2 linked regions of the Medicago truncatula genome follow. Each later gene encodes a partner of the first gene's protein in a complex. Links are inferred from orthologs where the notes say so. Each region holds a gene or a part of one and is shown in the gene's direction. Other genes may lie near its edges. The genes, in order: transcription initiation factor TFIID subunit 15b and transcription initiation factor TFIID subunit 10.

Region 1 (3,928 bases):
AAGGAAAAACTCATGTTCGATTTTCTCCGATGCTAATTTAAATGATTAAACCACTTTTTCATACAAATTTATTTATCTTAATAATTTAACCAATACTCTGAAGACACTCATTAGCATTTTTCTTAGTTTTCACATGAAAGATTTTTATTTGATCTTAAATTTGAATCACCGTGATCTTATATTAATGAACATAAAATTGTATCTGGAGACAAGTTTTACTTCCCTCTTTTTGTATTGTTGGCCGTGAGGCCTATTTTTGTTGTAGGATGAGTTTTTCAAATTTTTTGTTTAATGTATAAATTGATGACTTCGGTAAGTAGATTTTAAAGAAAAATTGATTTTTGAATCATGTCATAAAACGTCTTAAAAAAAGTGACATAAATAGTGACTTATATCAACAATCTCTTATTTGGATGAAAAATAAAATTTAAATTATTTTATTAATATTGTTCCAACAATGCTTCATCCAAAAATATATATTTTGATCCTAGCTAGCTGATGCCACAAGTGCACAACATGAAAAATCTCGTGCCATTGGCAAACCTAGGAAAAAGTTACTCCAACCTTCTCACAATAACGAACCCATTTTCTTGTATGAAGTTATAAATAATAAAATAAAAAATATTTACAAAATTAACCTAGTTAACGATTGTGGTATTTCTATTATCATAATAAATACAAGGCTAAACTGCACTTTTCGCCCCTAAGTTTTAAAATGTTGCGATTTTGACCCCCTATTAAAAAAAATGCGACTTTGGCCCCTTTCGTCCAAAAATTGCCGAGAAGGTGCCACGTGCCCCAAAAAAGGGGCCATAATCGCAACTTTTTGTAAAGATAAGGGGTCAAAAAACATATTTCTCTTATGTTAGGGGTCAAAAGAGCATATTTCCCTAAAGATGGGGTCATTTTTGCCATTTTTTTAATAGGGGGTCAAAATCGCAACATTTAGAAACTTAGGGGGTGAAAAGTGCCGTTTAGCCTAAATACAAAGTGTAAGTCAAGAAACAAAAATACAAAGTGTAGAATAATAATTTAGGAGGGTGTAATAGAAATAACAAGGGTGCAAAAAGTTTCTTCCTTTGTTAAAACGGAAAGGCCCAATATTTCACAGTTACATTCTACAATAATATTTCAGAAGCTTCACTACACAAAAAAATCTCAGTTTCTCTCTTGTGGTAGTAGCGAACCCTAGATCGAATCATGTCTGGAGGGTACGGTCACGATGCCGGAGGTGGCTCTGCGCCACCTTCCTATGGTGCTAGTGGTGGTTACGGAGGCGGAGGAGGTGGTGGCTATGCTGGTGGATATGCTGGGAATGAAAGCGGTGGTGGTTACGCAGCGAAAGGAAGCGGAAACGGTGGTGGTAGAGGATATGGAGGTAACGATGGTGGAGGTTACGGTGGAAGGAGTGGATATGGTGGAAACGATGGCGGAGGATATGGTGGAAGAGGTGGTGGCGGTAGAGGAGGTGGTGGTGGTGGTGGAGGATATGGAGGTCGAGGTTTGTTATTTTGATCTGTAATTTGTTTTCTTTTTTAGTTAATTTTCAATCTTATCGTGTCTTTAATTTCTGTGGATTGATGTGAACTTAAACAGGTGGCGGTGGCGGTTTTCAAGGTGGAGATCGCGGTGGCCGAGGTGGAGGTGGTGGCCGTGGTGGAAGTGGCAGAGATGGAGATTGGCGTTGCCCTAACGAAAGGTATTTGATTTTTTTCTGCCAAAAATTTATGATTTTCACTAGTATTTTTTATTAAAATGAACAATCAATTTAGTCTCCAAACTATGTAAATATAATTAGTAGTCCTAAATTATGTAAAGCCCATCAGTTTAGTTCCTGCACTTAAGATATTAGGGGCAAAAAGGACGGATTTTAATGTACATTTAGAGACTATATTAACGAATTTTATATAGTTTAGGGACAACTTATTATATTTACATAGTTTAAGGATTAAATTGATGGGTTTCATATAGCTTAGGGAAAACTTATTATATTTACATAGTTTAGAGACTAACTTGATGGATTTTATGTACTTTAGGGAATAAATTGACGAAGTTCACAAAGTTTAGGAAATACTTATTATGTTTACATAGTTTAGGTGCTAAATCGGAGAGAGTGATAGTTTAGGGACTAAATTAATGATTTATTTTTTCACTTAACTTTATTGCTGTTGATTTGATTCTTACGTTTCTTATCTGATTCAATATTGTTATTTATATAGTTGTGGGAACAATAACTTCGCTAGAAGGAGTGAATGTAACAAATGTGGTACCCCATGTCCTACCAGTGGTAATGACCGCGGTGGCGGCGGCGGCGGCGGTGGGTATAATAGAGGAGGAAGTGGTGGAGGATATGACAGTAACCGAGGAGGTAGGTCTGAGAACTATGGAGGTAGAACTAGTGATTATAATGGTGGAAGGGGTAATAACAATGATGGAAGAAGTGGAGGGAGCAATAGGGGTGGCTCGTATGGCGGGAATCAAGGCAGAGAAGATGGTGGCTATGGTCAAGCACCTCCTGTTGCTGCTGCTCAGTCTTATGGTGGTGCTGGTGGAAACTATCCACCTACCTATGGTGGGAATGCAAATTATGGAACAGATGCCGTTCCTCCACCTACAAGTTATACCGGTGGACCTAATTCATATCCTCCTTCATATGGGGGTAACACGGGTGGTTATGGTGGAGGTGATGCACGGAGTGGTGGCAGGGCTGTGCCTCAAGCTGGATATGACAGTGGTAATCGTGGTGGATTTGGTGGAGCTCCTGCTGAGCCAGCTCCAGCGGCTCCGGTGAAGCAGTGCGATGAGAATTGTGGAGATACATGTGACAACTCTAGAATCTATATCTCAAATTTACCACCCGATGTGACTGTTGATGAATTGCAGCAACTTTTTGGAGGCATTGGACAAGTAATGTTCTGATCTGTTGACTTTGCACTTTTTATTTGTCGCAATATTTTTATCACGAATGGATATTTTATATGAAAGTGCCAATTTCAGAGTAAATTCAAGTTCTCAGTCTGATACATAATACATATTGAATTGTGCTTTGTGTAAGAAATATAATCCTGTTGTACTTGTGCTAATAGGTTTATATTTTCATACGAGGCTTCAACATACTAGACATTTTGTTACATTTGTTTTAACTTCCTATGTTGGAAGAATAAAGTAGAAAAGGGGAAATAGGTTTATTTTTTTTAATTCTCTTTGAGAAGTATTAGAGGCCTCAACATTCTATCACCAAAAAATAAATAGGCCTGAACATTCTAGACGTTTTTTACACATGTTTTAACTGCCTAGGTTGGAAGAATAAAGCAGAAAGGGGTAATAGGTTTATTTTTTGATTCTCTTTGCGAAGAATTAGAGGCCTCAACATTCTATCTCCCCCCCACACACACCAAAAAAAAGGCCTCAACATTCTAGACATTTTGTTACATGTGTTTTAACTGCCTAAGTTAGAAGAATAAAAGCAAAAATGGGTAGCAGGTTTATTTTTTCGTTCTCTTTGGGAAGTATCAGCTGCCTCACCATTCTAGACGTTCTGTTACATGTGTTTTAACTGCCTAGGTTGGAAGAATAAAGCAGAAGAGGGGTTATAAAGATCAATGGCCTTACAACATTAAAATTTACACTGATGAAAATGGAAAAAACAAGGGTGATGCATGCCTTGCTTACGAAGATCCCTCTGCAGCTCACTCTGCTGGTGGTTTTTACAACGGTACTTCTTGTAACTGCTTTTTTCTTGCTATATACATTGATATTATTTCTCATACAAAGTTGAACTAATCACGATTCTGCATTTTCAGATTATGATTTGAGGGGTTACAAAATCGGTGTTGCAATGGCAGAGAAATCTGCACCAAGGGCTCCTCCAGCAAATAACCATGGGTATGCATTACACACTGGATCTATCTGTTGGAGATGAATGATA
Region 2 (3,928 bases), on another chromosome or scaffold:
AGAAGTAACTTTTTTTTATTTAAGTGTGGTGTGTGTATTAGACTTAATTTTTTTTTTAGGCCCGTAACTTTTGGAGGTCTGGCTTGGTTGAGCTGCTTGCGCAGCCCCAAGTTCGGGCATGTGTCTCATTACTTGATATGTAATGTTGTTTACGAAACATTTATTGTAAAATTAGATTTGAATTCGAAAACATTTAGGAATAGCAATGGGTACCCTATGAGTAGGGTACTACAGTGCCCTTTCTCATACCCGCATTTGTAAAAAGTACCTGTATCCGCACCTTGGTGAGCAACAACTTTATCGTCCTTCTCCATACGCTATGGGTACCTAAGTGCCCATACCCACACCCATTACCTGCACTTTAACTATGAAAAGACAATAAAAACATCACAATTGAAATAAACTATGGTCCTAGTTTTTCAAATTACCTCATAAAATAGTATGATGGTAGTATTTAGTCATATAAAAAACATTCAAAATATCACCCATCCCTAAAAACATTAAGGAGAAAATGTATGTAAGTAATCATGTTTGGTGTAATGAACACTTTTTGGACTTATCATCTCAATATTAACGTAAAGACTTTTTAAAGCATTTGAATGAAAAATGGTAACATTGTAATTTTTTTATGACTTAAAAACCAATTTATTCAAGACAAAAAAGTTGAAGGACTAATTAGCTATAAACAACTTACTTAAGGACCAAGGATGATATTTGACCTTATATTTATAAACAACTAACTTAAGGGGATTATCAAATTTACTTTTCAATGGAGGGGAATGTAAATTTTAACATAAGAGAGGATGAGAGTGTAATTCAAGCATCTTTGAGGAGAGCGGAGTGTAATTTACTCTAAATTTTTTTTCCTTAAAGCGACGTACAATTTGAGACGCATGGAGTATTTGTTTTTTTTTTTTTACTATATTTTTTTATGTTAAAAAAGTAATTTTTTTAGGGGAATGTTAAAAAAGTTTATTTTTGTCGAAAAAATGTACTACCTCCGTCCCTAATAAGACTTTTTTGAGATTTTTTTTTCCTTTTTATAAGACCCATTTTCTATTTCCAACTACATTAATTATTTCTTTACATACCCCTATTTATTATACATCTTTTTCTTCAATCAGCAATAAATAGAATGTTGAAAACATAAACCAACCCTCTTTTTTTTCTTAAAGGATAAAATTGTAAAAACAATAGTAATTACAAACGTATTTAATACAAATATCTACTATCTTAGTTCCCGTTATTTTTTTAAAATGACCTTATAATTAAGGACGGAGATAGTATAATGTAACCACGTTGATCCGATTCATTTGAGATGCCCGACGGAAAACCCATTATATAAAAACAAAATCACATTTCAGGAACACACGAGAACCCGATCCGGTTTAGTATTCGCCACCGTCTCCGCCTCTTTCTCCGCCTTCAATCGTGTCTCCGCCTGTTTTCACTTTTCTGGGTAAGCCTTAGAGTTTATTTTTTCGTGCTACTTTTATGGTAAACCATGGAGAACAGAAAAATTTCCTCAATTTTTCTTGCTATTAAATTTTGTTGCTACTGCTAACGATATGAACATCTATGAAAGTTCATTTTGTTAATTCTATTGTAATTTTTATTACTTATTGTGTGTTTAATTTGTTTTTCTTTCAAATTATTCAATTTGGTGTTTTTTCTTTAATCATTCAGTTTGTGTATTCTATGTAACAAATGTTAGTTAGTTAATGTGTGCATCGTTTTATGTTAGTTAATTAGTTAATGCTCCAACCCCTGCCTTTCACATGTGAAGCACCAACACAGACAGACACAACACTGACACTAACACATCGACAGTTGTAATAATTTAAGAAAATGACATAACTGAATGTAATCCATGTGTCATTGTTGTGTCGGACATGGACATGTGTCGTTGTTGTGTCTGTGTCGGACACAAACATATGTCAGACACCAAACACGCCTTCGATCAGGAGTGTTGAGTTTGTGTTATGAGTTGCTCTATTATTATTGAGATTGGAAATGTTAATGTTAATGTTATTGTTGATTTTGATTTTTTCAAAAAAATTGAATTTTGAATGTTGATGGGAACAAGAGCAGTGAGTAAGTGGATAGCGATTGACCAGAAGATGAATCAGAATCAGCCACAATCAAGTTCAAGCGAAGGAAGGGCAGATGATGATTCTGCACTCTCCGATTTCCTAGCTTCCTTAGTTGATTATACTCCTACTGTCAGTTCACTTTTCACTATTTTATTTTATTTTTAAATTTAATTTTACTTGCATCCATCCATATTAATTACTTTTTTTTATATACTGTTTTAGATACCTGATGAGTTGGTGGAGCATTACTTGGCCAAGAGTGGCTTTCAATGTCCTGATGTGAGATTGTGGGTACCTCTTTTCTTTTTCATTCACCATTTTTACCAATCTAGTAACTTAATGTTCTTTTATGCTTCCATAGTTTGAGAAAATATTGAATTTCATGTGAGAAAGCTAGTTCTTTTATGCCTTGGAGTTGGACCATTCTGAGTCTGAGCCTCTACCATCATTTTAGAGTTCTTTAAGCTGTATGAAAATATTGGATATATGTTATATGTCATTTGAAACAAAATTATAGAATATAGATACAAGAGATTAGCATAGCAGTTTGTTTTTGTTCTGTTATATTTTTATACATAAGACCTTGATTCGTGTCTTTATCTATGTGCATCTTTCTTACCATTTACTGGGAATCCTATATGTACATGGAATCTATTTGATCAGGTTGCAGTGTGAAACCAAGGTTGTCAGTTAAACTAGTTTAATTTAAGTTAAAGAACGATAATGTATGCAATTGCTGTTGCTCGGACTTTCTAGCCTTTGTTTTCTTCTTTTTTTAACCTTGGGATTTATTTGAGTTTGTAATTATTGCTGTTTTTCTATTGTTTTTTACCTCTAGTAAATTTGTACATGGGTGCTTGTGAATATGGTAGGTCCTTTTAGGATTCAACATTTCTTCCATTTTGGTTGACTTCTTTTATTGATTTACTTAAGTTTGATTCTTGGCCATTTCATCTTTTGTTCTTATACCGATGTTTCAGGACTAGATTGGTAGCTGTTGCCACTCAGAAATTTGTTGCAGAGGTCGCAGGCGATGCCCTCCAGTATATTCATTTTTCCCTTTCTATTTATTGAATCTTAACCTTCTTTTTTTGTTTTATTTAACTTGAATGACTGCTTTGCAGCCAATTATATATATGTGCACAGTAAATTTGGGGAATAGTGTACCATTGAAATCTATTTCTAGTTTCCCAAAAGTCTTTTGGTAAACTAGAAATAGATTTCAATGATTGACTTTTGGCAAAAACGTTGTCAATGCATGTGGATGAAGTCGACCAGTGTCGGATGGAATTTTTCCTTTCCTTAATGAATGTGTGTCGAAGGCACTTTGTAGGATTAGACACCCAAATTTAATCAAATTCATTTGGAACTTGGCAACTTAATGTTTATGCTTCTATCCCCTTCTTTTGTATAGGTCCATAAATAAATGTACACACACAACAACTTAATTTTTGTGCTTATGTCCCCTTCTTTTGCAAATGCATTACTATCTCCTTGATCTCAGTCATATAGTGATTTCACTTGACGTTAACTGTAGGCACTGCAAAGCAAGGCAAGCAACAATTCCAAAAGACAAAAGGGACAGACAACAGAAGGTTTTGAGTCTTGACTGATTTTAATCTGGTTTTGTCCATACGCGTTCACTGTGTGTGTCTAGTACTGACACTTCATTATGACAGGATAGGCGCCTTGTCTTGACGATGGAAGATCTATCGAAGGCACTGCGTGAGGTAAGAAAATTTGTCTTGATTTAGAAGGGACGAAATTAACTCCTTGTTACCACTAATTGATAATATTTGTTTACATGCACCCTCAATTATAATGCTATGCATGTA

The links.
Region 2: transcription initiation factor TFIID subunit 15b (region 1) and transcription initiation factor TFIID subunit 10 share a complex: the UniProt entries of both Arabidopsis thaliana proteins name them as parts of the TFIID complex. The link is inferred for Medicago truncatula from reciprocal best matches to the Arabidopsis thaliana genes TAF15b and TAFII15.

Annotation. Positions count from the first base shown.
Region 1 is NC_053044.1:29,930,436-29,934,363, forward strand, and holds the start of transcription initiation factor TFIID subunit 15b, read left to right. Parts: upstream 1-1,133; 5' UTR 1,134-1,200; coding exon 1,201-1,501; intron 1,502-1,596; coding exon 1,597-1,699; intron 1,700-2,219; coding exon 2,220-2,907; intron 2,908-3,297; coding exon of another isoform or gene 3,298-3,420; exon of another isoform or gene 3,421-3,480; intron 3,481-3,564; coding exon 3,565-3,715; intron 3,716-3,803; coding exon 3,804-3,885; intron 3,886-3,928. UniProt on the Arabidopsis thaliana protein: TAFs are components of the transcription factor IID (TFIID) complex that is essential for mediating regulation of RNA polymerase transcription.
Region 2 is NC_053048.1:37,499,181-37,503,108, reverse strand, and holds the start of transcription initiation factor TFIID subunit 10, read left to right. Parts: upstream 1-1,299; 5' UTR 1,300-1,459; intron 1,460-2,086; 5' UTR 2,087-2,120; coding exon 2,121-2,222; intron 2,223-2,315; coding exon 2,316-2,380; intron 2,381-3,073; coding exon 3,074-3,136; intron 3,137-3,630; coding exon 3,631-3,688; intron 3,689-3,772; coding exon 3,773-3,823; intron 3,824-3,928. UniProt on the Arabidopsis thaliana protein: TAFs are components of the transcription factor IID (TFIID) complex that is essential for mediating regulation of RNA polymerase transcription.